Arabidopsis thaliana: one gene and its partners. The protein of the gene in region 3 interacts with the protein of the main gene of each other region in a biochemical or structural test. Each region holds a gene or a part of one and is shown on either strand. Other genes may lie near its edges.

Evidence for each region.
Region 1: the proteins of DML1 (region 3) and AT3G14890 form a complex in vitro, tested with the Arabidopsis thaliana proteins (one study listed by BioGRID).
Region 2: the proteins of DML1 (region 3) and AT3G48425 form a complex in vitro, tested with the Arabidopsis thaliana proteins (one study listed by BioGRID).
Region 4: the proteins of DML1 (region 3) and ATXRCC1 form a complex in vitro, tested with the Arabidopsis thaliana proteins (one study listed by BioGRID).

Annotation. Positions count from the first base shown.
Region 1 is NC_003074.8:5,006,325-5,014,593, forward strand, and holds AT3G14890 (phosphoesterase), read left to right. Parts: upstream 1-2,351; 5' UTR 2,352-2,426; coding exon 2,427-2,777; intron 2,778-2,883; coding exon 2,884-2,946; intron 2,947-3,034; coding exon 3,035-3,316; intron 3,317-3,443; coding exon 3,444-3,509; intron 3,510-3,617; coding exon 3,618-3,746; intron 3,747-3,874; coding exon 3,875-4,168; intron 4,169-4,408; coding exon 4,409-4,471; intron 4,472-4,615; coding exon 4,616-4,693; intron 4,694-4,784; coding exon 4,785-4,853; intron 4,854-4,952; coding exon 4,953-5,036; intron 5,037-5,174; coding exon 5,175-5,231; intron 5,232-5,314; coding exon 5,315-5,391; intron 5,392-5,592; coding exon 5,593-5,674; intron 5,675-5,764; coding exon 5,765-5,881; intron 5,882-6,193; coding exon 6,194-6,327; intron 6,328-6,495; coding exon 6,496-6,565; intron 6,566-6,667; coding exon 6,668-6,736; 3' UTR 6,737-6,941; downstream 6,942-8,269. Other genes in the region: AT3G14880 (transcription factor-like protein), read left to right, coding at 241-647, 1,038-1,365; EMB3120 (uncharacterized protein), read right to left, coding at 7,118-8,269. UniProt on the Arabidopsis thaliana protein: Nick-sensing 3'-phosphoesterase involved in a base excision repair pathway required for active DNA demethylation. The N-terminal DNA-binding domain binds specifically to gap sites and sharply bends the target DNA.
Region 2 is NC_003074.8:17,929,312-17,936,082, reverse strand, and holds AT3G48425 (DNAse I-like superfamily protein), read right to left. Parts: upstream 4,379-6,771; 5' UTR 4,174-4,378; coding exon 3,937-4,173; intron 3,637-3,936; coding exon 3,544-3,636; intron 3,276-3,543; coding exon 3,131-3,275; intron 2,935-3,130; coding exon 2,733-2,934; intron 2,625-2,732; coding exon 2,546-2,624; intron 2,228-2,545; coding exon 2,166-2,227; intron 2,054-2,165; coding exon 1,967-2,053; intron 1,869-1,966; coding exon 1,765-1,868; intron 1,676-1,764; coding exon 1,590-1,675; 3' UTR 1,339-1,589; downstream 1-1,338. Other genes in the region: REF6 (relative of early flowering 6), read right to left, coding at 1-474; AT3G48420 (Haloacid dehalogenase-like hydrolase (HAD) superfamily protein), read right to left, coding at 4,532-4,655, 4,748-4,828, 4,912-4,958, 5,053-5,148, 5,342-5,408, 5,643-5,801, 5,887-5,957, 6,026-6,340. UniProt on the Arabidopsis thaliana protein: Apurinic/apyrimidinic (AP) endonuclease involved in active DNA demethylation and gene imprinting. According to a report, also displays an in vitro 3'-phosphatase activity. According to another report, has no in vitro 3'-phosphatase activity.
Region 3 is NC_003071.7:15,307,721-15,317,228, forward strand, and holds DML1 (demeter-like 1), read right to left. Parts: upstream 7,088-9,508; 5' UTR 6,878-7,087; intron 6,636-6,877; 5' UTR 6,553-6,635; coding exon 6,419-6,552; intron 6,336-6,418; coding exon 6,220-6,335; intron 6,118-6,219; coding exon 4,987-6,117; intron 4,894-4,986; coding exon 4,522-4,893; intron 4,417-4,521; coding exon 4,326-4,416; intron 4,233-4,325; coding exon 3,335-4,232; intron 3,261-3,334; coding exon 3,181-3,260; intron 3,059-3,180; coding exon 2,974-3,058; intron 2,897-2,973; coding exon 2,805-2,896; intron 2,729-2,804; coding exon 2,660-2,728; intron 2,571-2,659; coding exon 2,534-2,570; intron 2,450-2,533; coding exon 2,367-2,449; intron 2,209-2,366; coding exon 1,783-2,208; intron 1,581-1,782; coding exon 1,544-1,580; intron 1,453-1,543; coding exon 1,395-1,452; intron 1,322-1,394; coding exon 1,182-1,321; intron 1,103-1,181; coding exon 1,037-1,102; intron 956-1,036; coding exon 841-955; intron 756-840; and 5 more. UniProt on the Arabidopsis thaliana protein: Bifunctional DNA glycosylase/lyase, which excises 5-methylcytosine (5-meC) and 5-hydroxymethylcytosine (5-hmeC), leaving an apyrimidinic (AP) site that is subsequently incised by the lyase activity.
Region 4 is NC_003070.9:30,234,720-30,241,827, forward strand, and holds ATXRCC1 (BRCT domain-containing DNA repair protein), read right to left. Parts: upstream 3,817-7,108; 5' UTR 3,740-3,816; intron 3,147-3,739; exon of another isoform or gene 3,065-3,146; intron 3,053-3,064; exon of another isoform or gene 2,984-3,052; 5' UTR 2,930-2,983; exon of another isoform or gene 2,487-2,929; 5' UTR 2,445-2,486; coding exon 2,256-2,444; intron 2,156-2,255; coding exon 1,967-2,155; intron 1,877-1,966; coding exon 1,765-1,876; intron 1,670-1,764; coding exon of another isoform or gene 1,620-1,669; intron 1,595-1,619; coding exon 1,509-1,594; intron 1,417-1,508; coding exon 1,303-1,416; intron 1,224-1,302; coding exon 1,137-1,223; intron 1,010-1,136; coding exon 725-1,009; 3' UTR 501-724; downstream 1-500. Other genes in the region: EMB2753 (tetratricopeptide repeat (TPR)-containing protein), read right to left, coding at 63-113; AT1G80440 (Galactose oxidase/kelch repeat superfamily protein), read left to right, coding at 7,044-7,108. UniProt on the Arabidopsis thaliana protein: Corrects defective DNA strand-break repair and sister chromatid exchange following treatment with ionizing radiation and alkylating agents.

The DNA of each region.
Region 1 (8,269 bases), on a different chromosome or scaffold from region 3:
AATTTGGCACCTAAAAAGAGATTGAAACATTCTACAAAGCGATAAAACTTTACTTTATCTTTGACCGGACAATAAATGATAGGCATTTCTAGAATTTTAGGAAAAAAATGAAAAAAAATCAAAATGTGAACGTTGATACAATAAGAAAGTCGGTGAACAAAAAAAAGATAATATAAAAGCATAATATAGACAATATAAAAATTGGTTCGACCATCCCAAACACTACGGAGGACCCAAAATATGAGCCAAGAGACAGCGATAGCAAGCTTCAAGAAATTCCAACAGTCATGGATCGAGCAGCTACGAAACCACCTGAACCACCTCCGCTCCGCCCAAAACCATCACCGGAACTCTGCTACCGGTGATGAGGAACGGTTAAGGGAGGCTGTGGACAGAGTGATGGAACACTTTAGAGAATATCACAGGGCCAAGTGGGCTGCGACGGATAAAGACGTCATCGAAGTTATGGCTTCTCCTTGGGCTTCAGCTCTTGAACGGTCGCTTCAGTGGGTCGGTGGTTGGCGACCAACCACCTTGTTCCATCTGGTTTACACTGAGTCGAGTATTTTATTTGAGTCTCGTATCGTTGATATACTTCGTGGCTTTCGCACCGGTGATCTCAGTGATCTCTCCCCTTCTCAGTTCAGGTTCTACACGAACCCCTAATTAGCTACTTTGTTTACTAATCACAACTACTAGTAAAGATTTTTTTATCTAATTTAATAAAATATCCTTAAGTTACGTTGTAATTTGATTGAAGTAATATCGTGATTTGCGCGTGTTATTGTTTACCAAAACTAATACAGGTTCACTCCTACACCTAGAGATATCAAATATGTAGATTAGTTTAGAACATACGATGTTTATTTGTTTACTTTTCTTACCAAAAATGTTTTAGAAAGTGAAAAACACATTTGAGGGATAACAATAAATTTGAGAGATTAAAACACTTATTTTACTTTCTTTTTTTTCAATGTGTAAACAATAACATATGGACTAACTAAACATATTTTGATTACTTAATATTTAATATTTAGGGTTCCATTTGTCAAAGGCAGGACGGTAAGTGAGCTACAATGTGAGACCGTGAAGGAAGAGAATGCGATAACGGAAGAGTTGTCGGAGTGGCAAGACGATGCGAGTGACCTTGTCATGGGGACATCGTCAGATCCCGACCAGAGGATCCGACGGCTAGCAGAAATCGTCCACCGAACTGATGATCTGCGACTGAGAACGATCACACGTGTGGTGGAGGTCTTGAGTCCGCTCCAACAAGCGGAGTTTCTTGTCGCTGCGGCTGAGCTTCGTACAGGCGTTGCTGGTTGGGGGACTAGCCACGACCGTCGTCGAAGTTCCGAAGTTTAAAGCTAACTAAAACCGGTCTAAAGGTAATGAGAATCGAGGAAGAAAAATAGTTTTTGGATATTAATTATATGTTTTTACCATGTTTTTGGTTATCCAGACTGAGTTTGGTTTTACATGGTTATGAAAACAAAAAAAACTCATATGTTATGTCTCTACGGTTGCAATAAAGATCAACCCACGTGTGGTGCTTGTTAGTTTACCTTTTTTAGTTAGAATTTTGTGTGTTTGATTTTTTTTATGAGGTAATTATCGGACCTTATTGGGGCTTCTGATAGTTTGTATATAAAAAATACTAAAGACAGAGAATCGGGGACATGGGTCATTGTTGGTTTCTATAGACCAAGTGGATAAACAGAAAACAAAAAGTCAGCTACAGAAAAAGACATGAAGTGAACGTGGCACTGCCATGTCTCTTGAAGACATGCAAGAGGACACTTGGTGTGGTACGCGTCCTCCTATCACGGTGTCGATTCCAAACATTTTGTTTGGTTTAGTTTTAAGATTCTTCTTCGAAAGAATCTCATTTTTAATCGAAAGATATGATGACATGACAAATTTCTTCTTACATAAATTTGCTCTTATAATGTTTATTTTCGTGTAAGTTTTATATATTTTCTAAAATATTGAACTTAAACTAGCTAGACCCTTTATAAAAATACTATCAGCCCTTTTATATAATGCTTTGGTGACAACAGAACGACAAGAAAAACTGAGAAGAGACCTAAAAACGATTATAGCGGTTTTGATTGGTTGAAGATGTGTCACAATTTTTTTTGTTTATTTCGTTTCATTTTTATTTAATATGCTAGTAAACCTGTTTTTTTTTTTTAAAACTGTATTATAAAAACGTGTCTTGTTAGGCCTTTAAAGCCCAAATAAGCCCAATGAAAGAGGAAAAGAGGAGACACTGAGATTTGGCCCAAACTAACGCATATATTTGTGTTTTACATTTATACCCCTATGACCGACATCAATTTACCGACAGACTCTACTTTCGAGAATGGCGGGAACGTGAACTGAACCCTAATCACCTTTTTTCTCGATTCCCCACCAATGGCTATATGATTACAGTAGCCCCCTTCGTGTCTCTTCGTTTCCAGTTCCCTCTTTATATAATAAATCGCTCCACTCTCTTTTTCCGAGAAAGAACACAGTATCTCGTCTACAACACCTGTCACATTTTGAGAACAACGGCGAAAACAATGCCGGTGGTTGCTGAGTACGCGAAGTCGAATCGGTCGTCGTGTAGGTCATGTTCGAACAAGATAGCTGTGAAATCGCTTAGGTTAGGGTTGATTAGCAAAGGACGTGGCGGGGTTGACATGACCAGGTGGCACCATTTCGATTGTTTTCCGACTGATTCTGAGTCGATTGCTTCCGTTGATGATATTCAAGGCTTATCCGCTTTAGAGGTTAGGGTTTCCTTACATTTCTGTATTTTGGACTCCCTAGGTTTTTTTTCGTCTAAAGCTTTTCACTTTCGGTTATTTGTGTTAACGCTTGTGCTTATGGTTACAGAAAGAAGATCAAGATGCTTTGACGAAATTGGTGGAACAATGTGGTAAAGTACCTGCAAAAAAAGTAAGACTTTGGAAAGTGATGCTCTTTAGTCTCATTTGCTCATATCTACTTTTGCCTAACTGCTTGTATCGGTTTAAACTTAAAGCAGCCTGATGAGAAGAAGGGGAAGGCTAAAAAGCATATAATGGGGCCGAAGGGGCTTACGAAGGCGGCAACATCTTCAAAAGTTATTGCTGATAATGCGAAATCGAGCAGATCATCATGCAACAGGTGTTCTCAGACAATCGTTTCAAAGGATCTGAGAGTGGGGCTGGTTACTGAAGACTCCAGGGGATTTGATATAACAAGATGGCATCACTTGGGTTGTTTTCCCATTGATTTTCATCCAATTGATTCTGTGGAGGACATTGGTGGATATTCATCGCTTGAGGTTAGTTTTTGTTTACATATTAGGAATTTTCAGTTCAGTGTATAGAGCTTTTGGATGATTGCATATGACATGTGGTAACTTCGCTAACAATATCTTTTTTATTTGATTCATTTGTCATACTCAACAGAAAGGTGACCAGATGGAATTAAAGTATTTGGCCGAAGTAAACAAGAAGGATAAAACTTTGATAGATGTACTATCCATATCCCTTGTCATAATATTATAGTCTGTTTCTGCAAATGTAGAGAACTTTACCATTTCAGGCTTTTTGAAACTAACTTCTTACTTCCTTTGCTGGCAGGATGTCCAGAAGATGGATGAAGGTGATGATGAAGCTATAGCTGATAATGAGCTAACGGAGGAGACCAAAAAAGGAAAACATTCTCCTGTTGCAAAATTGGTGGAACAACCTGGCGAGCCTGCAAAAGAAGTAAGTTCTGGAAGCAACAATCTTCTTTTATGCGAGGAAGAAATGATATGCAGACTTCAGTCTTATTTTCCAACCTAGATGTAGATTTTTGACTGAAATACTTCTTTTAACTGCTTGTATCGGTTAAGGATGAGGATGAAGAGAGTAAAAAGCCTGCATCAGATGAAATAAGTGAGCAGAAGACTAAGGATGTGAAAAATTCTCCTGATTCTTCAAAAGTTATTTCTGAGTATGCGAAATCGAGCAGATCAACATGCAAGAAGTGCTCTCAGACTATCGCTGCAAAGGAACTGAGGTTGGGGCTAGTGACCAGAAACTTCCGTGGCTTTGATATGAAACAATGGCATCACTTGGGTTGTTTTCCTGTCGACTCTGATCCAATTGTTTCGGTAGAGGACATTGGTGGATTTTCAGAACTGCAGGTTAGTCTGTATTTAAAGATTCAGGGGATAGAGCTTCTAGATTATTCATGTATCTTCTGGTAACTAGGATCATTTGAAACAGATGCTATTTGGAATATAGATGTTGGTATATAGTTAATTTATTGTCAGGTTGGCATGACATCGTTGTCAGTGTCGTGCAAAATTAACACCCAAACATGTATGTATTCCTTGTTTCTGCTAACACATCTTTATATTTGATTTATTTTTAATTATAAACAGAGTGGTGATCAGGATGCATTAAAGGAATTGGTCCAACAATGCGGGAAGCAGACTTTGGTAGATGTAATAGCAAATCCCCTTTTCATAATATTTGTTTTCTTTGGCGAAAGCATTCTGTTTAAAAGTTTTATCATGTCTTAACCAGAAAATAATTTTAGAATTTATGTCTAAACTAACTTCTTACTTCATTTCGTTGCGGGATTGCAGAAGATGGATGAAGATAATGATGACACTGAAGCTAAAATTAAGCTAACTGAGGAGACAAACAAAAGAAAACATTCTGAGGTTAATAAATAGCAATAATCACATCTTTTTATACTATAATTTTGTTAAACTGGAATATTCCTTGACCTGTAATTTATTGTTTCTTATAAAGGTTGGGGAGATGGTGGAAGAAGATGAATCGCTAACTAAAGCGAAACAACAGATGGCTAAAACACATAAGGTATACAAGCAATGATAAGTATTGAATACCTTCTAATGGTAGCCACTCTTCATTGTGGAGAAATTATACTTAATGATTTTAAAATATTGTGTTATGCAGGTGAACATGAGTGAGTCAACTTCTCAGGTCGAGGTTGAAGCAGAAATCACTCTTTCAGCGTCTGATGTGAAGGATAAGTACAGGGTAAGCACTTATAGTGTCTAGTAGGTTAAAGCCATGTATTCCTGTGTTAAATATTCTTCTTGGAGTTTGTAGCTTTGGCATTTGATCCCTTTTTCGAGTTCTTTTATTTTTCTGGCTGCTAATCTTCTTGTTTCTCAGGATGCCAATCTATTACCAAAATGGAAAGCTTTTGAGACAGTTATATTCCTTGAGCGGGTGAGAAATCATCTTCAGATATGATGTACATGATGGTAATATATTATGGCCTAATGGTATGTTCCTTTGTTGCATTTTAACAGGATGATGGTCTTAATGATTCAGAAAAAATAGCTGCATTTGACTTTGATGGATGCCTTGCAAAAACATCTGTGAAAATGTAAGTAGCTCTTTGGTCACCCATAATATTAGTGTGTTCTCTGTTTTTATGGACATATGGGCTTTTCATTCTATCTCAAGTGATTGCATTTCTGCAATTTTTGTTTATCCTTTTAATGGTGTTATGCACGAACCTCGTCTTTCAAGGAAAATGAGAAACATTGTAATGTGTCATAATGTTTTATATTCCCTTCTTTCTCAGAGTAGGGGCAGATGCATGGTCCCTAATGTATCCTTCCATTCCTGAGAAACTGCAAAGTCTGCACGATCAAGGCTATAAGCTGGTATTTTATTTTCAGCTAGAATTAAGTCTTAGGTACTCAATAGTATTGTTTATATAGATTATAGAGTAGCTGATTTTAAATGTTCAACAGGTCATTTTCACAAATGAATCCAACATTGATCGATGGAAGAACAAGCGGCAAGCTGCTGTAGATTCGAAAATTGGACGGCTCAACAGTTTTATCGAGCGCGTGAAGGTCCCCATTCAGGTTAAGTGCTCTTCCGTTTTCATAAGTAAGAACGTGATTGTATCTATTCAAGAACACTGTGTCAACAAACCCTAGCTATTATTATGAGTAATGATAAGAAACTATGATGTATTCAATGCCTTGTTCTGTACTTAGTTCATATGGCTTTAATGATTTGTTCCGGCGTATAGGTATAATCAGAGAGAAAATAGTGATTCTGTCTTGCTTGTTCTTATTAGTTAACACCCCAAATTTTCAAAGTCTTAAAAGTGCCAATTCCCTACATTGTTGCTGATACTGTGAAGATTATAAATGGTTTTGTTCTGCAAACAGGTGTTTATAGCCTGTGGAGTCTCAAGTTCTGGTGGTAAAGGTGGTAAAGATGACCTTTACCGCAAACCCAAGGCTGGAATGTGGCAACTCATGAAGAAGCATTTTAACTCTGGAATTGCAATTGATATGGATAAGTTAGTTTTCTCCCCACCTGCTCCTAAAAACTTGAATTTACCTGAAACTTCTAGCAATGCTGGAAGATTACACTCATTTGTCCACCAGCCTTACTGATTAAACACTCCGTTTAAGTCCACTAGCACATTTTTTGTTGTTGATACTGACATCTGTGCTATGCTCATCAGATCCTTCTACGTTGGGGATGCAGCTGGAAGAAAAATGGATCACAGCGACGCTGACATCAAATTTGCACAGGTATTTATTGCAAACGTCAGACAATACCCATCCTTTATTTTATAAGTCACCCTATTTACTTTTCTGACTTTCCTCATAGACAACTACTTTCTTTGGTTGCAGGCGAGTGGGCTAAAGTTTTTTACCCCGGAGGAATACTTTATCCCCTCAAGTACATCGCCAGGGACTTAGCTGTATCAGTCTTGTGCTTGTGTTTGCAGTTTGCAACTTCTTTTGCTTTTTTTTTTGTGATGAAACTAGTAGCTAGCTTTTGTGATAAAACTAGTAGTGTGCTTTTGTGATCAAAGTATTAGTATGTGTTTTAACTCTTTTTGTATATTACTGATATTTAAGCGTCAACTAGAGCTTATTGAACCAGGAAAAAGAAACTCCTTTGAACAGGCAGGATTGCAAAGTCAACATAACAAACCACTGATAACAAAAAAAGTTCAAATTTCCGACTCATTTACATACATGGGATTGGGAAAGTTTAAAATCTCTTATGATGCTAATAACATACATCAAAAATTCACTCTCCTTTTCACTCTTTAATCAGAAGACTCAGACATGAAATCACTCCTTCTGACCAATCTCGCCTTCCAAAATGGCGTGTCTTGTCAGAACAATCTCTTTGACAAGGTTTCTGTAAACAAAGGGCCTAACAGCAGCACGGAGAAAGAGCTCAGGTGGAATCCTACTCTTCTTTATCTTCTTCATCCACCTTCCATATCCTACTGTCTTCCATTCTTCTGGCTTCACTTTTGCCTTCTTACCTCTCATTTCCAACTCATCTCCTTCAATCTCTCCCTTTTCTCGTTCCTCCAATGCCTTTAACTGCTTCTCATAAAACTTATCTGACACCACCATACTCATCTCCGCAAGCTTCTCCATCCGCTCCGCATTGTTTGTCGCTTTGTTGAATTGCTCTTCCCAGTACCTCTCATCCTCTTCCGGATCCGACTCCTCTATTTCATCTTCCAAACTGTCTTCTTCAACGTTTCCCTCCACATCGACAACCATGTTATCATCATCATCTACTTCTTCCACCTCACCATCATCATCATCATCATCATCATCATCATCGTCATTGTCAGCTTCATCTTCAATCCATTCTGAGAACTCAGCCTTCTCTGAGCTTCCACTAATGCTAATCTCATCCTCATCTTCATCTGGAGCATCACACCCTAACTCCATCTCCTCCAACTTTGCTTTCCATTCTTTTGTATACGGATGCAACAGCTCGTTCGGGTGGTTTCCAAGCAAGAACTTCAACACTCTGGACTTCTTTTCATCACTCAACTTCTCATAAGCATTCACCACATCATCCACGAAAGCTGTCTGTCTCACCTTCAACATCTTACACAATCCTCCGTAATAAGTACTCAACTCCACTCTACCTTCATCATCCTCCACTTCACACACAAATCCAGATTCCGTCACCGGGTTTAAATAAGGGATAAGCGAGTTAAAGAAATCTTCTTGAGGCTCAAACCTACACTGAAACACAGGCTTCTTCACATACACAATATCAGGTCTAAACCAAGCCGCACATTGACATATCAAAGACCGAGACTTGTTCCCTAATCTCCCCATCAAATTCCACTTATCCAACCTCTGCTTCTTATCCGCTTCCACAACCACTTCACTAACCAACGTCCATTGCTCCCACGGTAACTCACTGAGTCTCCATTTCGGATGCCTGACAAACACCCAAAAATACCTCAA
Region 2 (6,771 bases), on a different chromosome or scaffold from region 3:
AAGTGTTTCAATTTCAAGGGCAGAGAGTTGACTCTTTTTACCACATTTCTTGAGATAATTCTTCTCAAAGTTCTTAGCTTTAAACTCGAACTCACCAAAAGAGTACTCCTCTCCACTCTGCCACACAGGTCTCTGCACTGGACGCTGTTTCCTAGGGCAAAACCCGATCTGCTGCTGGCGCGTGGCGAATGTGGGACCACCGTCATAATCACACGCGCCAAAGCCGCCGTCACGAACCCTCGCCGCCGCTCTTGCCGCCAGAGAACGGTTGAGATTAGAAATCGAGGTTTTTTTGGAAGGAGGAGGCAGTGGAGGCAGAATTTTACAGATTCCATATCTAGAAGCTTCTTCTTCAATCTTCAAAATGTAAGCGATCGGATCTTGAAACTCTGCTAGAGTAGGTCTGAACTCTGGAGCAACCGGTAACGATTTAAGCCATGGAAACACATCTTGACTCTGCTCTGAAACCGCCATATCTCTCTCTCTCTCTCACACACACAGGGAAGAACAAAAAAAAGAGACTTTCTCTCAAAATTTGTTCACTTTAACTTCTAGGTATCAAATTAAAACGCCATTACAGAGTATAAACAGAACAAAAATTTTGAAGAGAGGAAAAAAAAACAAACTTTAAGAGAATCGACGAGTCTCCACCATTTCTCCGGCCAATAGAGTTATTTTCTTAAAGGGTCATTCACTTTTCCTCGAAAAAAACGACGGGCTTTGTTGATCTCGTTTCTTAGGTCTCTCTGTTTTTATTGGATTAAAGAAACAGAGGAAAAAATTGTATTTTTTTTAGGGGGTTGGGATGGGTTTGGGCAGAGCAAGAGATTGTGATATCTCTGTATTAAAACAAGTAAAGAACACTTAGTTAGAGAGAGAAATGGTTTTTAAAAGGGTATGATTTTCTTATTATTTACGATTCTGCCATTTCTAACACACATTTGTTGTTGTCCTCTCTGTAAATCCGTTTGCACATTCAAAAACTCCTTTTTAAAACCAAACATAAATCCCAATTTTAAGAGTAAAATTTTTGATGGTTTTAAAAAAGATATTTCTCATTAAACATTTTTAGTCTTTGGTAGTTCATGAAATTAGTAGAAATTAATGTATGATATAAATGTCTACATATATTATTGTGTTTGTTATGCTGAATCCAAATTTGATTTTTATGAATATGAATGAGCCCAAAAAAAAGAATTTGAATGAGCCATTGGTTTAACGAATGTTGCCTCTACCTACTGACTAAGACAATAAAGCAAAGGGTATAATATGCTTAAAATACACCAACAAAAGCTCTAAATCTTTAGAAATGACTCAAAAGTTAATAAATAAAAATAATTAAATGAAGAAGATTCACAATTAAAAATATCAACATTTCTTAGGAAAATAAAACATATTAAGATAAGCACAACAATAATTATAAGTACATTTGAGAGTTCATCAGAGTAACAAGGCTAAATAAGTGTCTCAATAACCTCAATCAAATCTTCAATGCATCTCTCGGCAAAGTAAAAATTAAATTCTCTGATAAAATAAGCTTTGGCTTGTTCCTAAGAAGGCCTTATGTTCTAATACAGAAGAAGATGATTTTAGTTTGACACCTGGTTCTGTTCCATTTCTGAAGATGGCTTCGAAAGCTCGAGTGTAACCGGACAATGATCACTCCCATGGAAACCTGAAACAAATCAAGAACCAAATTGTTGCAAAAAGAGCTAATAATAATCTTCTATGAATCTGTGTGATGAACAGGTTTATCTATGGCACCTTCAAGTTCTATCCCACGACCGTGCATCTTACAAGAAACTATACGGTCTTTGAGTTGTTCAGAGACCAGAAAATAGTCGATCCTCATCCTCTTTCCCCGGTACCTATGGCAACCAAAACAAAAAATCAATATATAGCTTTAGAAACATGCGGAGGTTCTGGACTCCAAGCCATAAAACTAAAATGTGTAGTATCCACTCACTTTCCAATGGGATTCCCCGACCATGAGAAGCCACTTTCCATTTCTTGCTCCTTGTGTAGATACCGGTATGCATCAACAAGCCTTCCTCTGTAACAGTTCCCATAAATATAATTTATAATCACATGTTTAGTAACTCTAATCTGTATTCTAGAAAGTACTACTACTAAGACTTCGCAGTGCAAAGACATATTACGCATACTCTTTTATAGTTGCCCCGAAGCGTCCTCTCTCAGATGGTGTAAATCCAGGCTGTCCGCAGTCCTGCATAATCAAAAAACTCAAAACCACTGTAGTCATTGTATGATTTAAAGGTCCATCTCACGGAGAACCTTTCGGTTCAGGCGTAGTAAAGTCATCAACAATAGCAGGGTCACAATGCAGATGAAGAGACAAGATAGGAAGAGAAATACAGGCGTAGTAAAGTCATCAACAATAGCAGGGTCACAATGCAGATGAAGAGACAAGATAGGAAGAGATATAAAAGGCCGACGGAAAATAACATTATTGAGAGCCAGCTCTGTTTTTAGATAAAAGCTATAATGATAATGAATAAATCGTACAAAATATGGTATTCCTTACCTCTTTGTTTGGAGGAACATAACCATTAAGCTTTGCTGTAGCAAAAAATTCTGGGTGGCTAACATCTATCTCCTCATGACTGCGTATTACAAAAATCGAATCGAGGAAATAACATCAACTTTTATTCTGTAAGGGCTTAAGGAAAAGAGTATAGCAAGAGAAGATATAGAAAAAACTTCCTCATTACCTGACATTTAAGTCGCCACACCATATTAGCGGTTTATCAGATGTTTTGTTGAGGAATTCAACAATCCTCTTGTCCCATTTTCTTCTCCTCTGAAACGCATTCTCTTCATCTTTCCAACCATTGTTAGGCGAATACGTATTCAAAAGACGAAATGTCTCAAATTCAGCTAAGATAACACGACCATCAGGTTCATGTTTAGATGCTGCATGAGAGCGACAAGTATATAAGTTAGTCATCAATGATCTAGCTATGATATATTTCTCCCAAGTACATCAACTTTGAGATCAAGGAAATGGCAGAACCATAACAAGACAGATAAAAGAAACATGGCTTCAAATTGCTAGTGTGCAAGAGATTTATGTGATGATAAGGAACAAGCAACAAGGCTATAAAAATACCTAATTTGTCCAAGTTAAAGTAAACTTTTCGAGGCTTGAAACATTTTTTCACTAACAAAGCTGTCCCTGCATACTTCGAGTCCGCGAGAGACCACCAAACCCCATAATTTCCAAATGGTGGACTTGAGAGAGCCCGTGTCAAAATCTGCAAGTTAAGTTTCCCAGAACTAATATCAAGCTTGAATGTTATCCAAACAACAAGAGAGTTTGTTACTCCATAAGTGGCTCCCGCATTCTTTTAAAATCTGTCTATAACCATGCCACTGCAATGTTGATTCTAACTCATACACCAAAATCTCCTACTAATTGCAAATGCATCAAGATACAGAGCTTTGAAAATTCTTGTTCCGTTGGTACTATAATACAACTATTTTAACAGATAGAACAAGCAAGTCAATACAGAACCATGGTACCTGTTTTTCCTCACGCAAAACTTTCGTGTCATCACTCAACTCTTCATGGTTTTTAGGTTTTCCCTTTCCACCAGCAGCAGGCATCCTTACTTCCTAACATTAAGAACACAGTCAACCGCTAAGCTCAGAACACGCTGACACTAAAAGAATCAACAGCCCCCTCCCCCATCGTAGTCACAAACAAATTGGATTAAAGTCTGATCTTTTGCACCATTAACCATTTAAATGTCATAAGTGACTGAATTTGCATCAACAAGTTGAACTCAAACCACTTCAATACAACCCTAGAAGACTTGGAGGGTTTTAAAGTTCCACACATAAACACCTAAGCACATTTACCCACATTGCTCGAAATTAACCCAGGGATTCCAAAGACGAAGCAAAAGAAATCACCTGTATGGCGATGACATCGGGGTCAAAATCGGAGACGAACTTAGAGAACTGAGACCAGTCATTTTTCACCCGAAGGAGGAAGCTATTAGCGTTCCACGTCATAAACTTGGACGGCTCGTTCTGGTTCTTCTCTTCTTCAACTCCATCTCCGTCTCCGTCACGCTTTTCCGGCGAAAGGCAGGGTTTCTTAGCCGCCGGAGAATTCTCCTTCTCTATGGGCTTGAAGAATCGCTTCATAGCTATAGCAATTTCGTAGCTTTATGGAGATAAAACTCAATTCACCAAAATTCAGATACCAACTTGAAAAAGGTACGAACTTTACGTTGTCCCGTCGTTTGTTGTATATTCGAAGCTTTGTGTTTCGGCGTTTGTTGTATATTCGAAGTTCACATAGAAATTTGCAACAATGGTCAAGCAAAACCATTTACATAGTAAACCCAACAACGCTCACAAGCCCAATATATTGTAACGCTTTTCTTCATAATGTTATAATCGAATTATATTATATATATGGTTTTACATGAATGTTCTGTTCAAATGACTATACACAACAATGTTGATATAGAAACAATTTTCTTAATGTGGTTTGTAGTTTTTAACTAACGAACTGTTTCCGGAGAAGACTTCCACAGAATGCCAAATCAAATCTCTCTTCTGGAGGGTCTCCAATGCAGTCGAAAACCGCATCTGCGTTCTCGAAATCTTCATCAGCCGTGTATCTACAATTCCAAAGATGAAAGAACGAATGATCATTTCAATTCTGATTGTTATGGAATTATGAATAGGATTCTGATTTCAGACTAAAACTCACCCACTCTTTGTAACTATACAAGTCATTCCCGCAGCTTTTGCAGCTGCTAGCCCGATCGCGCTGTCTTCAACCACTACACATCTGCACATACACAAATCCATATCTCAAGAGAGTTTTCTAAACTGACTCATTCTCTCCTGTAAAGAATCTTAGTAACACTTTACTTTGAGGGATCAACTCCAAGGGTTTCAGCTGCTAAGTTGTAGATGGCCTGTTAAGAAACAAAAAGTTTGATGACTCGGTCTTTAACCAAGACGAAGCAAGCAAAACATATGTTGTGATAGCATGGAAAGTGAGTAACTTACTGGATCAGGTTTCTTTTTGGGGACTACGTCTCCTGCGAATATCTTGATTTTCTCTGCTCGTTCTGGTCCAAGCAAGCATGAAACTATAGCAGAAACCTGAAATCAGGCAAGAAATGAGAAAAGTATTTCCGATTATACAGTTCTTCTAAGCTAAGACGATGCTCGCATATTCATGTTAACGATGCAGCTGCGCGTAGTCTTGTTTACGAAAACTCATCAGGATACAAGATTTTGAGATATATGGTTATGGTCTCAGGAAACTGAAGTAGTAGAACCTGATTGATCATACCGCCTTCTCATTTGAAGTACTGCACACAGCTACTTTGACTCCGTTTGTTAAAGCTTGATCAACCAACCTGCAAAGTTTTAGCAAGAGGGCTCAGAACAAACAAGAACATGTATATGATTAGTTGAAATAACAAGCCTTACAAACATTCATAGCATCATGATTCAGGAGTATCAATCATTAGTAAGTTTGCTAAACCTTGTTTTGGGTTAAAAGTTTTAGACTTTAAAAAAATCAAACTCAAAAGGGACATTCAAGTAATAGCATCGAGAATATAGAATAGAACATTAGAAGTGACACTAACTTTGCAACACCGGGTCGAAGCGGAAGCAGCTTTTTCTCGATAAGAACCATGAAAAGCTCAGTCTTCTGCTTGTGAAGTCCAGCTATGAACTCTTTCCTCTCTGCTTCATCTTTAGGAGCTTTCTCTGGCCAACCAACCTTGTTAAAATACGCAGTCATCCTACCAAAACAAAGCCACTCCAATTTCATTCAAACGAGAGACTAACTCAAGATTTGGTATAGTAAATGCAATTTTGATTGTATACCTTTCTTTACCACCACCGATTTTAAGTAACTCGCCGTATAAATCAACATCCCACGTAACATTCAAATCTCTCTGCAAAAGATTCCAATTATCATCACCGAAGCTAAGAGCTAATGACCAAAAAACTAAAACTGAGAAACCTCTTTGAAAGTGTCGTTGAAGGAGATCCTGTGACCGTCCTTCTCGGTATCAACAAGAACGCCATCGCAATCGAAGAGAAGAGCAGAGGGAAGAGTCGTCAGAGAAGATGAAGCAGAGCAGGTGACTCCAACGGAGCGAGATGATCTGTATACCATTGGTTTTGCTCTCAGGGACTTTCCATTGAATCGCAACTTCACCGCCTTTGCAGGTGCCGCATTGGGAATGAAAGATGGTGATAACTTAGATTGAATTGAAGAAGAAGAAGAAGATGGTGATAGCGAAGCCAAGGAAAGAGAGATTTTCACAGTGGCCATTGTTTTGATTCTCTCTGTCTCTCTCTTTATCTCTAATCACTCTGCGAAATAAATAACGGTCGCGAATGTCTTCAACTTATCCGGTCTTTGTTTAACGACCACAAAATAAGAAAGAATTGAAAGAAAGAGCCACCCGAGTACGGGTCGGGTTAGCTAATTCGGTATTTCTCTACCTATTGACACACCTTAAACCGAGTTTAAATAACCTTTTAGACACTTTTGATTAAAAAAATTCTATTTATGACAGCTTAAATACTTTTTTTTTTGCTTTAAATCTTCCTTCTTCTCCTTTTTTCTAGAAAGCCACAACATTTTTCAAAATATAGTATAGATATATAATATTATTATGCGATATTTCTTTAATGGAAAAAATGTTGTTTAATACGCCAACTTTTAAAACATAGTCATTTAATACGTGAACTTCGTATGTG
Region 3 (9,508 bases):
GAAGATAGAAGGAATGCTTCGAATTCGGCAAAAATGTCAGAGAGTTTGGACAATCTCCGATCAATTAGGGTTGTGAATTGGGGATTTTATGGAGACGAGACAAAAAAAAGTTGAAGATCGGAGCTGGTTCCAAAAATATTTAGGCCCATTTAATGACCCACATTCCATGTATAATAGGCCCATCATCTAATATTTGACAACAATAGAATTCTTTGGTCCGGTTGAACTATCTGATTTAAACCAAGTTAAGTGAGATCCTCCACATATCGAACCAGATCTTGATTCAGGTAACCAAAAGCTAACCGTAAATTCAGATATAAACCAAACGAAGGGAACAGAGAGTTTACACAGCTACGGGTCTGTTTTTTGTGACAAGTGTTTGATACAAATTTAAGACGAAACTAAAATGGGATTTAGAAACCTTGTACAACTCTAGGACTGTTAACTTTACGTTTTCACTTTCTTACATTAACTAGATTGGAACAGTGTGCTCTCTCACTCTTAACCATAAGCTTGTATTTGTTTGCTTGCCAACGGATTAGGCGAGGTTAGCTTGTTGTCCCTTCAGTTTGCTCGCCGGGAAGTGCAATCTTGCAATCAAAGGCTTCGGTCCCCTCGTCTTTCGATCAAATCCACGTACACATACGTACCCTACATAATATCAAAAGATAAGTTATGTTTCAGAACAAGAAGAAACTGCTTAATACAAAATGTACCTTTCCAAAAGCAAGCCTGTATCTTCTCAGTTGATAAACCTGAGAAAAATAGAGCTCAAGTGGTTAGAACAACTTTCTTTTATATAAACAATCGCATCACAATCCAATAAAGAAAATCTTATACCTTTGAATATCGTAGGAACAGAGGTACCAAAATAGACCGTTCTTCGAGGTAATTCCCATATCAATTCCCTTGGGACATTGATTGGGTTTAGGCTGGATGCATGATCCGCAAACACCTGTATCAATAGAATACATCACAAGTTTCAATGCAAATAATTAAAATGAAAGAGTTGGAGTTATTGGAGTTCAAGTCTTACCTCATTTACTTGAAAGTACGTTCCATTTAGAGGAAAACTACCCCTCATCGCTGTTCTACAAGGAATCTGTACAATTTACAACATATTAATCTGTAGAAAACATAAGTGTAGTAAGCCGCATAAGGAGATTGATGCAACTACTTACCAAAATTGTCCCTCTCACAATTTGAGATCTAGTCTCCTTGATGCTGTTGCAGGAGAAACAAGTCTCCTCGTCACAAAGCATACCATTTGCTTGGAATATGCACGTACTAACAGACGGTTGAATAGAATCAGCCGTCTCACCTGTTGAATAACACATCGATTAAAGATACCGATTTGATTTCATGATTAAAAGATATGCAAATCATTAAATTACCTGGCGTCCATATAGCAAGCAAATAAGAACATGGATCATCAGGTTCTCTCTTTTCCAACTGCCACAAGAAATCACAAACAGCTAGTCAGATTTTACAATATAGACAGCACTCTATACGGCATGTGTCCTTATCCAGTTAGCTCACATACCTGAGCTAGAAGAGGATGCTCGTCTGGAAGTTCGTAACTGCAAGATACGGGAAAAGAAACAAGTTATGGCATAGCCTGTAATTATTGGGAAGTTTGTCTGCTTTCCAACTTACGAGTTCATGCTTGGTCAATCACTTAAATATTCTACTCTGTTCAAGCTTTAATAATTTTGAAAAATGTGTTTCTGATTTCATTTTTAACCTAAGAACGAAGAAAAACAGAGAAAAATGGATTCTTACACTCGGTGTTCTGTCCTTAACTGGCTGATATTCTTGAGCTTAGGCATTGGAAGAGAAGCAGTTTCAGCAGTAAGTGCAACTAAAGCGCTGGACATGTTTCCGTCTTGAAGTTCCTTGTTGTGTTCCATTATCTTCTTCAAGTTACTGGTAAATGCATCCATGTTTAGCCTGATGGTAGGAATTTCTTCTGGATCCTCAAAAAACGCCTCCTCTATGTCAGCTATTGATACTTCTGCGGTTTCTGGCTCCGGTGAAGCAGGCTCTTCGATGATTGGTTCACAACATGTGACCTTTTTTGCTGGTTCTGAGTGCTGTACTACTTCAGACCCTTGCTCTCTCTGGAATGGCTCTGGCAGGTGTAGAGGCAAAGGGTTTTTATCAGGTGTCCCCATACCTTTCTCTGTACTTGGTAAAGCAAGCCTTGCACTGTAAAACAAATGAATGTTACTAAATTTTCTGTAATGATGATTCAGAGCTTCGTTTAGATACAGACCAATTCTCATTTAACTGGGTTATATTTTAACAAGGACTTTCCTCATAGAGTCATAGTGGTACTAAAGGTTTAAGAGAACATGTTGTAGCACCTTGCAAACGCACTGGCAAAATGTCTGCATTCTCCTTTCATCGGACATGCATTGCAATTAGGTTTGCTCTTTGTGCAAAAGACCTGATACAATAATCAAGCAGATTACAAACCTCATCATGTGAGCTGATTTTGACATACGTATATATGTATTTCTTTAATACATACCTTTCCAAAAGTAATCATCTGGTAGTGCAACTCATACCTGTGAGATAATAGGGTATTAAACTAATGAATAAGTGTATTAGACTGAGGCATGAAAAAAAAAAAGTTAGTGATAAACATCATTCTTACAATGTTTTTTGGTCGAGTTTGCAGAGACGGGGCCAAAGATACTTTTGAATAGATTCAAGCATAGGATACCTAGACAAACCAAACCTCAGATGTATTAAGTAACAAATTACAATTTCCAAGTAGGACCATTTTGAAAAGTGCTTACATTTCCAGAAGATGCAACTGAAGTGACTCTGGGAGCGGCTGAAGGGGCACCCATCCAAGTCTGACGGCTATGCGCCCAACATTTGTATCAACCTGTCAATAAATTAAGTTCATGCATCATATAATTCACTTTTTATAGGGACAGAAACAAAAGTTTGATCCTTGCTTACTGGAAAGGCAAGATGGTGAAGTGTTAGAAGCCGCACACACTCCACACTTTTCAGTCCCAATCCGTTAAAGCTCAGAAGATATTCTCTGCAGGGTTTTGTAATATACGAGAGTACATAATTCATTATTAAGTCACTAAAACTGCCAAAGTAGTAATCTTTGTATAGGTTAATAAAGAAGAAATAAAATGCTTCGTCTTTCAAACTTACTTTGCTTTATCTGGTGGAACATCTCTCAACCATTCAAGATCGATACTTCCATGGTCATTTACCAGTCGATCAAGGAAGCCCTGCATGATTTTCATGTTCAGAGTCAAATACTTAAAATGAATGTTATCACGAAATTTAGCCACTAAATTTTTACCTGTATACGTTCTGCAAGTTTATGGTTCATCCCGCGACTCTTGATTGTTTCAGCAACTTCCTTAACATCTGCTGCTCGTATTGCCTTCCAATCCACGGTGTCCATTGTACTTCTTGTTTTTTCTCTAATTCCTGCTCTAGCTTGGGCTTCTCTTCTTAAACAATCCCAGTCAAACGCTTTTTTTTCCTCCTTCAAAACCTTTTTCCCTTTTTCTTTTAAGGTAGGTTTCTGACAACTCAAAACATCCCCATCTTGCTGAGAGCAACAACCAGGTTCACTACTATCAACAGAGGATTTTGTGGGCTCTTTCATTGACTGGAAACCCTTAATTTCTGAGCTACAATCACCCGGAGACATATTTGGTGATACTTGATTGGAATCTTCTAGAGAGACTTGTACCCCCTGTAGGAGCTTCATAAAGGAAGTACGATACTCTCCTTCTAAGTCGATCTCTGAGCTTGATCCTGCTCTCTCTGTATTTTGAGGAGCATCAGACACCATCGAATGTTGACATGTAAGTGCAGAATCTTCAGATGGAAACAGGTTCAGGACACGACACTTCTCATCCGTCTTATCAACCTCTACACTTGAGCCTTTTCGATCTGAATCAACATACTCCTTTGAATCCGTGGTTTTGTCAACTGATTCATGGGCTGAGATGGCAATCTCACTACTGCTTCTGGAGGTTTCATTGCTAGGTACATAATCCTTCTCCTCATCAGGCTGTGTATTTTTCAAAGTAACAGAACTGTGATTGTGATCGGGTGGGCTTGACATCGTTTCCTCTGAGTCCAAGTACGTTATTTGAATAGAAGGCATCGAGCTTGTTCCAGCGTCAAAGTTACTGCTCGGTACAAAAGGGACAGGGAACTGGGAAGCCAACGACATGAAAGCCGAACTACAAGGAGTAAAAAACATCAAAGCAAGTTAGTTTTGTGACTTTTTGCTGTCTTGGATTTAGTTTGACATAGAATTATGTAAGAGCTTGTACCTTGAGAGATGGTCTGAAACATTTTGAGTGAGAAATACTCCAACAACAGAATCCACGACGGATCCCTTCCAAGGCGTAAAACGTCGATCCCCTGTTAGAAACCAAAGACCATAACAAGAAGCAGTAGCTGAGACATACTAATTGAAACCATGTGGTTAGAACAGAAACACATAAAAGGACAAGTGTGGTGTATAACCTTGTACAAGGTGCATCCTTGCAATAAATGAGTCAGCTCGTCCTCGAAACACATTACGTTCTTCCTCCCACCATTTCGCCTTCTGCTCGTCTGATCCGTCAACACCTTCGCTATTAATATTCTCCAATAGCAGTTTCCACACTCTGTCTGTCTCATCGTCTAGATCAACCTTTGGTCGTGGGCGTGGTTTTTTAACAGGAGTTACAGGCACAATTGCTCCAGCGCCACCACCAAAGAGTACAATCTGGCTATTCATTGTGTAAGGAACGAGAGCAGTTTCAGAATGCTCCCTGTTGATGTCTAATAGACGCAATAGCTCACTGATTGTTTCGATCGAGTTACGTCGTTTCCAAAGTTCATCTGGAGAAAGACCTGCAGGAATCAAACATCATCATTATCAAGAAATAGTCTGCATTTAACAGATTCAAAAAAACAAAGAAATATAGTTCTGTATCTATTCATTACCAGTAAATGAAGGTGGAAAACGGCAAAGATTCGGAAGAAGATTTTTCTGTTTGGTTTGTGATTTCTCAGACTTGGTTGGCTTCTTTTTGCTCACAGTCACCCGCGTATCAACAAGAATCTTATTATTTTGCTGTGGCTTGCTACAATATCCTGAGGTTAAATGCTCAGGAACTTCCACAAGTTTATTCATTGAAGACAAATTCCGGAATCGAGCATGGCCTGTTGTTTTCTTCTTGATCGGCGTGTCTATCTTATCCGAGAGAACATTTAGCTCAGACTCTTGCCTTCCTTGAAAGATACCTTCTCGTCTTTCTTCAACGGTTAGGACTCTATTAGCACTGAGCTGAGATGTGGAACTGTAGCACGTAGCGTGAAAGGCAGAAACATAATTGTGCTGTTGTCCAGAGAATACTTTGCTGCAAATGGCATCATATCTCATCCCTCCCTGTTGCAAGTTTGGGGAATACAACCAATGCATTTTCTGGTAGTCACATTGCTCATCATACTGAATCCCTGATAGATTCATGTCGCAACAAGTTGGTCCTTGTCTTCTCTTTGCAGCTTGCGCCATCGAAATATCGACTTCTTCTAGATTACTGCCATTTTTCTTTGGTTGAACTCCCTTTCTTTTACCTTGGCTGCGCTTTCTCTTGGGCGTGCTAGGAGCCGAAAGAAGGCAATCTTTTAACTCTTGATTCCCAGAATCTAACTGCTTCTCTTGAAGAGCTGATTCCATCTCACCTGCTTCTCTAATGTCACCGTTGGTCTGGTTTTCTCCATTTTCGGCTTCAAAATCCAAGACTCGTCTACAGAGCCTCTTAGGACGAGTTGAAGTTTCAACAGCTGCTGATGATTCAACCGGAGTAGCGTCTTGATCCTTACTGACTTCAACCTTCTTCCGCACATATTTCCTCTTTGGTGTTTTGCTTTCTTGACCATCGGTGACAACAGACTTCCTCGGAGCTCGTGGTTTAGGCTCCCTCTTGGGTTTAGCTTCTCTACGAACCTTTGGCCGATGCTTCTTCCTCTTAGGTTTTTCAGGAGTCTTGAGGATCTGTTCAGCAACATTGTTACTCACTGAGCTCAAACTCTCCACTTCTTCAGTACCTTTTTGCATAACCTCTGTGTTTCCTACATTGAGAATCACATCTTTCTCAGTCCAACTCAAACAGAATCAAAATTTGACAAAGCGATTTCATTTCTCATGAGACCAGAATCAAAATCCCCTCTTACTTGTAGGTATTGGAGTCTGACCAGAGAATATGAGGGATGCAGTGTTAGCTAGAGCAAGCAAATCCCCAAAAGACAAGTGATCAAGACCACTCATATCCTTGTTCCCAACAAATCTCCTGCATGCATCAATACCTTACTTAACCAATTACCCATCACTACTCTTTGAAATTTCTCAACTTTAGAACAAAAAAGCACAAACCTTTCCTCCAATTGACTGCTATGATATTGATCCTCCACCGTGTATGGGCAGATCGGTGAAAATGGCTTCATGGGTGTCTGAGGAATCCATGGAGGTTGTTGAAAGCTGCTTTCTTCTCTCCTCTGTTTCTCCATTTCTGACTCTATTTTTACTTTTCTTCACTCTTACTTAAATCAGAACCATTTGAGAAAAAGCTTGGAACTTTCTATTTTTTCCACTGCAAAAAGTTCAATAATTTCTTCAATAAAAGAGATCACCAATTTTTTTTAAAAATCACGATTTTATAAAATGATCAGATCCACTTTTTTCTGGGGTTTTAGAGAAAGAGAGATCTCCGGAAGTCATTGATTTTGGGTGAGTGGCGACATGAACGATTAATCCGTTCGTTAGGTGAAAGAGAGACTTTTTAGATTCACAACAAAATGTAAAAAAAAGTAAGAAAAAAACAAAATTCATTACCAGTAGAATCAATGGTTATGGTGGTGATGGAGAGAGTTAGTTCGGTGGTAGCTATGAGAGGATAAGATCACTGATGCTTCGTTTCTTCTCTTGGAATCGATGAAGTTAAAGAGTAATATAGAAAAAGCTTTTTTGGCCTAACGTATAAAGAAGAGGATATAACATGTGTTGTTGTGTGTTTCACTATTTTTCATAACCGTTTGTTTATGTAGGGCGAAAGTTCGTTTGGTTGGCGGGAAAAGTTTTACGGAATTTTATTTTAAAAATAATGATTCTTTTCTACAAAATCTCCTAGACTATGGGAAAGATGATTTAAAAAGTTAATAATATTGTCGTTGTTATCGTCATCGTCATCATCGTCTTTTCTGTTATCTTTTTCTCTTTAAAATTTCGTATTTTTTCTCGTTTACGTAACTATTTAAAATTATATGAACTAACTAATTTTATAATTAATAGAAATTATAAAATAATCTTAATTTTGCTTTAGATATAAAATAATTAGAACTTTATTTATAAATTTATCATCAAATTATGATTTAAACAAATAACATGTTATGTAATCCACGTTTATAATTTTGATCAATAATATATTATTTTGCTAATTTTTACGTAATCTCATAAATTTACACGTTTTCGTTTACATATGCAGAAGTTAAATGATTCGTTTTAGAATTATTATTTTCCACTGATATGGGAGCTAGTGTAGTAGAGTGATTATTAGGCTAGTTGCCCAACGAGTCTTTCGTTTTTGATCATTCCAAATGTTTTAGTCTAGTACGATAGGAGTCAAAATACTGCACCATATGTGTGAAACTGTGAATGTGTGTGAAAAAAAGAGTAATTAGTGTGCTAACCTTTGATTTCCTGTCATGCAAGAAACCTTCAAAGAGACGTACATGAGAAATGAGTATTGTAAATCATTTATTTCATGGACTTGGTTGGAATCTTAGTGAATCGTTGTTGTCAATCTTAACAACTTGTTGGATTGGTTATGAGCCTATGACTTATGACTTATGAGTGAGTCAATGGTGGTCATAACCTAATGATTGGGTTATGAGCAAAGAAATTTGGAATTTGTAAAAAAAAAAAAAAAAATCAAGAGCTTTTTTGTGTGGACATATCTATCCTAGAAACTGAGACGAATAATAGTGGATAAAAAGTTGGGAACGGATTATTCGAATGTTTAAAACTATTATTGAAAACAATACAACTAAATATGGTACAAAAGTAAACGAATTCGTATAGCTAAACCTAATTCAAATTACGAAGCTAATCCATACTTGGATCCTAAACGCTTTTACTTTTACTTACGGTTTCTTTTTCAAAAAAGTTTTTACAAATTTGGGTTTGTCTTATGAAGATTATGGCAGAAGAGACTGATCAAAAGTGAATGCCTAATTCGGTTTAATCCATTCAAGTTTATCTTAAACAATGAAACTGACCATGAAAGTGAATTCAAAGACCAAATCAAAGAAAAATTAAACTGATTTAGTTGTAATATTGGTATTGAATTAAACTATAAATAGAAATAACCAAACATATAACCACAAAAGAAGACTATTTATATAAATATATGAGTTGGAAGTCATTTTTGGACTATTATATAAGATCTAATTATCACACGACGTGTGGATGTATGGTTAGCAGAGTTGTGTTCAGAGAGTTCGATAAAGCCATCACTCCAAACATACAAAATATCCATACATTGATCCACCAATATAACCGGCTGTGTGCCAAGCAAAGTGAAGCTTAGGCCTAACTAGGGTTCTCAAAAGTTCAAAATATAAAAAATATTTTGGCGTCGACCTTAAAGTCCTTGCTTCATCGACTATAGTCTAAAGCCGGCATGCCTAAAAACCTCATATAAATCGTCGCTTGTTACTCGATCATACTCTGTAACTATAAATATCCTGATCTTAATTATAACTTGAAATACTACTAATCTACGAATCTATCATGTAACCTGTTTACTAGTTTTTATTTAATATAATCAAGGAGATAGGTCACTTGAAAACAAAGACGCCACGCTTGTATCTCAATCCATACTTCTATTTTTTGTCTTATGATATGGTATCATTCACGTAGTTTATATATTAAAAAAAAAAAAATATCATTCCCATAGTTCTTAGTTCTTTGTTTTATTCATAATTTTATAATATTGGCCTTCCCAAAAATTTGGGTAAGGTCTTGGACATTACAAAGATCCAACATATACAAAAATAAATAATCAAAAAAATCTTTGTATGACTGGAGATAATGATCGGATCTTGCTGAAGACCGGAAACAGAGAATCAGAGCAATAGTACCAGCGGATACAAGACCCACGACTTCGCTGATTTGTTTTCTCATAACATGTTTGTGATTATTTTCTGATTTAAGCGTCGAAAGATTTTTTTATCCCATAAGGTCAATCCTCTCAAGCGGTGGCAGGAGATTCCCGTTTCACGCACTGTGTGAGACGTGTGAATGACATAGCTCTCGCTTACCATCCACGTCTCATGTATCAGATTCATTCAACTCTTTTACTCATTCACCATGCATGAAAAGTATAAATTACATTGAATTTTAGCAAAGCACTTAATTCTTATCTTATTATAATCCTATTTTACATGCACACGTTATAATGTTATG
Region 4 (7,108 bases), on a different chromosome or scaffold from region 3:
TCACATCGCATGTTTAAGACAAAGTAAAAACTGAGAAAGAAAGAGAGGGAATCGGAACATACGACGATGAGCTTGAAGAGGTTGGCCTCCTTAGGAGGAAGCGAAGCCCCCATTTTATTGCGCTACTGAGAGAGCTCGCGAAGACGAAGACGGAGAAGAAGAAGAAGAAGATGTTCTTCGCGAGTTCGATAGGGTGAGAGAGAGATAGAGGTGGCGTACTATCCGCTTCAACCCTACTGCGAAACAAAGAAAGGCACAACTCTCACAAGACAAAACCCAATAAGGGTATAAATAAATTAGGGTCTTGTCTTCAATCAATCTTCTTCGATCCTAACCATATCGGTACATGTTTCCGGTTTCAATTCGTTTGTCTGATATTACAAAACGGTTATTAAATTGGATAGAACCAAACCGGTTCAAAACTGGAGACATCTGAACCTAATTGACCAAATCAAATTTGTATTAACCGATCAAATTCATCGTCAATCGACACTAAAAAGTATCAAATCAAACCGACTTATTAATTGCAACCGATTACATCTCTCAATCGAATCCAAACCAGCATAAATAAATTCTAATTAGAAACATTCTTTCCGAACCAAGCAGACCGGATTATTTCAAATTTTTATCAGTAATAACATCCTACTCAAACCGAACAAACCGAGTATAACAAGAATTCTTGGAATTCCTTAAGAGATCATATGCAAAATGAAACAAGTTTGATCTAAAGACACTCTAAAGAAACGTTCCTATAAGCAAGTTCGATCTCTTCTTCAGTCATCTCAACGGTCATATCACTGTCATAGCCACAAGCAACCCGAGAGGTCGATTCATCTTCGCCCGGTTTTGCTAGCTCAGCTTCGTAGATCTTTTTCCACGACTTTGCTTGTTTGCAAACTTCTTCCTTTGATGCTGTTGAATTTTCCTTTTTAGAAGACGATTCCATCTTTCCAAGCTCCTTCACTACACGAGGGACAAAGCTCCATAGCTCTGTAACTGATCCAATGTCCTAAAATTAAGAACATTCGAGAATAAATTCAACCAATGATCTTCTCAAAGAAACTGATCAAAGTTTAACAAATCCAAAAATGTACACAGGCGGCAACTATTATTGTTCAGACTTCAGAGATATTAACCTGCTTCTGTTCAAGAGAATCTATGGCGTCTTGTAAGCAGGTTAAGACTCCTTCCGCAGCTATTCGCTTGATTTCGCCTGGTTCTGGCTGTTACAATGGCTTTAGAATAACGGAAACATACAATCAAGAAAACATGTCTTTTGAAAGAGCATATTAATTCCCTTACTTTTTCCTCCTGACTCTCAAGCCATGAGATGGTTTGACTTAGGTCATCCCTGGCCCATTTCTTCACCTCTGTAACAAAAAATGGCTCTTTCACAAGATTGCAAGCTGATCTATTCTGTGAACATATGGAAATAAACAGTCATAGACCATTGATTGGAGCAAAATACGGTTCGTTTTGGTTAACCAAATCATCAGATTTAAACATGCCTTGGATGAGGTAGATGGTGTTCCCCTTGTTTCTGTTTTTTTCTCTACTTGCTTCTCTGGTTTTTTAGACAGGTGTTCTCTCTTTTCTGAATACAATCAATTAAGGTTCACAGAGTCAACTAAACATCGGAGTGAAGCAGTGCAATAAGAAAAGCTTTTCTCTTGTCATAAACGTAAAAACAAGGTGATTTGATGAACCTCAGGATGGTTAAAACGGAGATTCTATCTAAAGCCTTTCCAATATAATTCTTTTTACCTCGATTAGCATCTTGGGGACTACTGCTTTTCCTCCATGGTTTTCCAGCATGCATAAGGTATTGCTCGATATCTACCAACTTCTTCTGCGCATAACACTCAGTTATCCACTCCTGGAGACAGTGAAATCATATAAAATATCAGCAAAAAGGAGAAATTCAAATCCGCACACAATCCCTTATAAGAAGAGTCAAAGAGGTAACCTTTGAGATAATTGTTCCACCATTTGTTTCAACTTGACGGAACTTTGGAGTGTTAGGAAAAGCACAAATCAACAAGGTAGAGCCAGCGTTCCAGTCAGGTTGATAGGTGGCTCCCATTGTCAAGGCTTGTGACCTCAGTGTACTCCTCTCAGGATTAACAAAGCCCGAAAGTACAAAAACAACGCCTTCCTGCATAGTTTAACCTTCAACTCAATCACAAAAGCATATAAACTAACATGACAGCTTAAGATAATTGAGTCTCAACAAGACCATGAAGACACACACAAACCATAAGTTTAGAGAATTCAGTGGTATTTGAACTTGGCTCGGCGTGTTCTGACTTGTTGGAAGGGGCATTTCTACTGTTGTGCTCTTCGGTTGGTCCTTCATCCTTAGGCTTCTTACAATGAGACTTACTCGGAGTAATCTCGGGATCCCTAGAACTCATCCAAGAAGGAAGATTTCGCTTCTGAGACATCTTGTCCTTTACAGTGGAGAGAATACTAACACAGCTTTCGTCCTACAAAGAAACACTATTATGAACCTAAGCCACTAGTTACTTGAAACTCCAGGAAAATATTGCTATTGCATCGCATCTAGCACAACACAAAGCCAGAGAGAAAACGGTGCAAATCTGCAAAAAATGTAAAACATTCCCTAAGAAAGACAAATCTTAATACAAACGAATGGTATAACCTTTTTTCAATTTCAACATAAAAAAATCAATGGACAATGGTTTTAACATAACTCAGTAGCACTGAATTTGAATTCGAGTTCAGATCAAATCACACTGGAAAATTGGAATTGAATACCAAAAAAAAAAAAAAAAAAAAAAAGAAGAAAGACATTGCAATTAACAGAACATCGCGAACTTCGCCATAAAACCCTCGAAAACTAAATCTACCCATGTAAATGAGCCAACACAGAGGAGAAGACTATAAACTTGAGAAGAAAGCGAGGAACCTTTAAGTGCTAGCGCTCCCCCCGTGGCTTCTCTTTGATCGAAATCATCAGAGACTATTCAATTTGTCAACATACAGTACAAAATCAGATCAAAATGACGGGTTTTCAATTTAACAAATGATTCAACTAGCAAAGGTGGACGTGCCGGAGTGGTTATCGGGCATGACTAGAAATCATGTGGGCTTTGCCCGCGCAGGTTCGAATCCTGCCGTTCACGCTTTTTTTTACCAATTTTTTGCTTTGACTCTTTCATTCGCGTTTTTACTCTTCTGCCCTTTTTTCTTTTTTTTTGGACATCAACTTGTCTGCCCTTTTAGGATTTCTAATGTTTCATTTTTACGGTGGAGGGGGTTTATGAATTAAAAGAAGTACAAAACCAAGGTCAAATTACCATTACTAAATCATTCCTCGTTTCAATCTTTTTTTCCTAAGTTAGCTCAGTCAAATCCTTCGTATACCTACAATGAGCTCGATGAATTAGACTTAATGCACTGGAGAAGCTAAAGCTTGCAAGGGGAGGAAACATCCTATTTCTTCTGAAATATATCGTATGCTTGTCCATATCATTGATGTCATGATGTGTCATGTCTCATATTCTCGTAACATCCGCAACACAAACCCATCATATATGCTTTTATCTTATCTTTCTCTCGTTGTGTTGTTGTTTTTGCTACAACACAATTCCAGGACTAAGTTTCTGAATATCAATGAGTCTAAACATGTCAAAATTAAACTACGTCTTCACTTTGTCTTTAACGTACCTTTCTTTGATGAAAAAATGAAAAAAAAGTTATAAAAAAAATAACGTACCCTTCTTTAACCGCAAACTGTTTTTGGACTTTTGAACCCATTTCCGAAATTTCAGGGCTTCTTTTCTTCAAAGTTACGTAGTACGTACTAATAATAAGCCATCGTCACGACTCACGTGGTTACTAAATAAGATATGCTTATAAAAGGATTCAATATATTCAATGGCTTTGGCACGTTCTGTCCTCGCTTGACTTAAGCCATGTTAATTTGACCGTTGTGTTGTCGTTGGTCTGTTCGACGCTATCAATATAAAAAAATGTGTTTTATTAGCTAAATTCAGTTGATTTATCATACTCTGTGCTTTCCCTCTCGCTCACTTTATATATATCGAAGAGTATTGAATCATCTTGATTTTCTTATTTCATTACCATTCAACATTAAATCATGTTGTCAAAATTTATTTCCAAAAAATGACATGAAACCTCGAGCAAACCCTTAAAAAAAAAAAGGTAGATAAGTTGATGTTAGTATATGATGATGAGGATGAATGAAAATAGATATTCCGCGCACTTATAAAAAAAGAAATACAATTACTGGCAGTAGAAGATACGAAGTCCACATCAGCTACCGGATAACTATCATAATGGATATGGAAAAGGACGTAAAAATAAATACCAAAGGAAACTTCATGAGCTTATCCTGTCTGTATGTACGAGAGCTGTTTTATTTGATGTCGACCGCATGAATATCCAAATGATCTATTGCATGTCTTCGTAACAATTTGATCCCTACCATTAATTAATATGCAAAATAATAATGCATATATGATGAAGACGTCGAGTGCCTAATAGAAAGATGCGGCGAGTCAAACTATCTTTTGAGACATATATACTGTTTAGCTATATATCTTTTCAAATGAACATTTTCCTATGTAATTGGCCAGCGTTTTCTGCGGTGCCAAAGCTCATATTCTCTCGATCATCTAACTGTAAACCTTATTACTTAGCTCTGGCAGATGTTATTATCTTTGCCGGTTTGCTTCGAGGCTTTGTGCTTCTAATTTAATCAAGTGTCGACATAATTGGAAAAAAAAACGAGTAAAATGCAAATAAATAACGATCACATATATAAAGAAGTAATTAAACTCTTTTGGCTAGTTATTTCGTGTGTTCTTCGTTTTTTTCCAATTTGCTTGGCGAATTTTCTTGTGAAGAAAATACTTGTTAAGAGATTTGAATAATTGAACGCGACCAAAGAAGAGTATGAGAATTGAAAATATCGACACGAACATTGATGAAGTGGGTCCAACACTCCCAGTACCAGTCTATTCGGGCTATTCCTATCTACGAAGAATCGGATTGCTTCCGTCGTTTATTGTTTAGATTTATCAAAGAGCCAGCCACCCGACGAATCACGACGACTCTTCTTCCCCCCTTTAAGGATGTTGACACCGTGTCGTTTTGTCACCTTATAGAGTTATAGTCATTCAGACGCCGTGCCGTTTTATCAGTTAGAGTTATTTTCTTCATGTTGAACCTTTTTTTGTCAGCCCGTTTTATCCCACGTTGAAGTTTCAATTAGCTTATTTTAAAAAATATTAGATCGGAGTATCTTTTGTCTAATTAACCAAAACTCCAAGTTACTACATTTATATGCAAATACATGAATGGGTCATAGTAATCACAAAACTATTGTTTTAATAAACCAAATATATGCGTTAAAGATGTTTACAGCTTTATACATATGGCGGACACTAGAACTAGTCCAACCTGCATGGAACATGCTACTAATTCCCTAAATATTGTATTATTCCGTATTCAATTTTGTACAGCTACGAAAAATAGAGTATTGTACATAAATGTCCATACGTTACAGATTAAATTAGTAAGCAAAAATGCTTTGATTAACGAGTATACGCTTTTGAGTACGGAGACAACATTTCGTTTCTTTATGTCACACGCGTTAAGAAGTTTAATAAAGATCATATATAATTACGACAAATATCTGTATATATTGTAGCTATATTTATAAAAACATATAACTTTGGTCATCGGTAATAGTTTAAAGATGTCGAGTATCAATACAGATTTAAATATGGCCGACCAAAGATAGACACACACATACAGACAACAACAAGCCAAATAAGAATCAAATAAATTTTTGTCAAAAAAAAGGGAAATTCTACAAGTGAAATTAGAGAAATTATCTAGAAGGATTTTAGAGGAAAGACTCCAAGGCATTAGTCTTTGAGCTGGATTTGGATTTCATTTTAATAAAACATAAATTAATCTTTAAACGCTATTATGTGCTTGGATTATGTACCACATAATGCGAAGGAAACATCTTTGTAGTTTTGCGTTCTTCATATAATAATATTTTGCCGTCGTGTATGTGTAGTATACATATATTCATCACTTTAGTATACAAGTTGCCACAAAGTTCTGTTGTTTATAATAAAACCAAAAAAAAAGAACAAGTTCTGTTGTTTATAATAAAACCAAAAAAAAAAAAAACAAGTTCTGTTGTTTGGAATTAGGAGATCGATTTAAATTTTTACAAAGCAAAAGGGTGTGTGTGGTCCGATTAATATTTTAGTATATGAGAAAAAGAAAGGGTGTGATCTAAATTATAGATTCAGAAGGTCCATTCAAAAAGTACAGTCTTTTATGTGTAGGTTTTAAGTTTTTTCATTATTCTTAAACGAACAAATGATAGATTAATTTTATTCTGTTTTTTGTTGTGCGCACTAGTAAGTGTATACTCTATAGCATTAGATAGAAAACAGAGTAACATGTCAAAACAACATCCAAAATCTAAAATCAGTATTAGTCGAAAGGCCTAATTCGATATTCGGTAGTATATTTTACCGTCTATGTTTAGATATATAATCTGTTGTTGACTGGAATTCGAATGCTAAATTACTAAACCTGACCAGAAAAATATCAGGAGAAAATGAACTTGGATATGACATCCATCAACTTGTCCCAATTGGTCCAAAGTCTCCATCTTTAAATACAAGACACAACCATTAACCGTTTTTGCCCATACTAACTCAAATTCCGTTATCTTCATTTTATTTGATTTAAACTATAAAATATACAACACAAAAATTATATTAAAAAAAGAAAGAAACGATGAATGAATCAACAAGTTTTCTAGAAACACTTATCTTCAAATATCTATAAAGCGGCACACTCTCCTCTTTCCCATCATCATCATCATCTTCTTCAACCTTGTCTCGATCCAAAATTTCATCTTTTACCAAAACTATTACAATATCCCTCACTCTACTTGTAAAGCTTCAATCTTCTTCACTTCTCAACAAACAGATAAACAAAAAGCTTCAATCTTTGATACTTTCTCGATGGAACTTATCCCCAATCTTCCCGACGACGTTGCTCGCGAGTGTCTCCTTCGCTCCTCCTACCA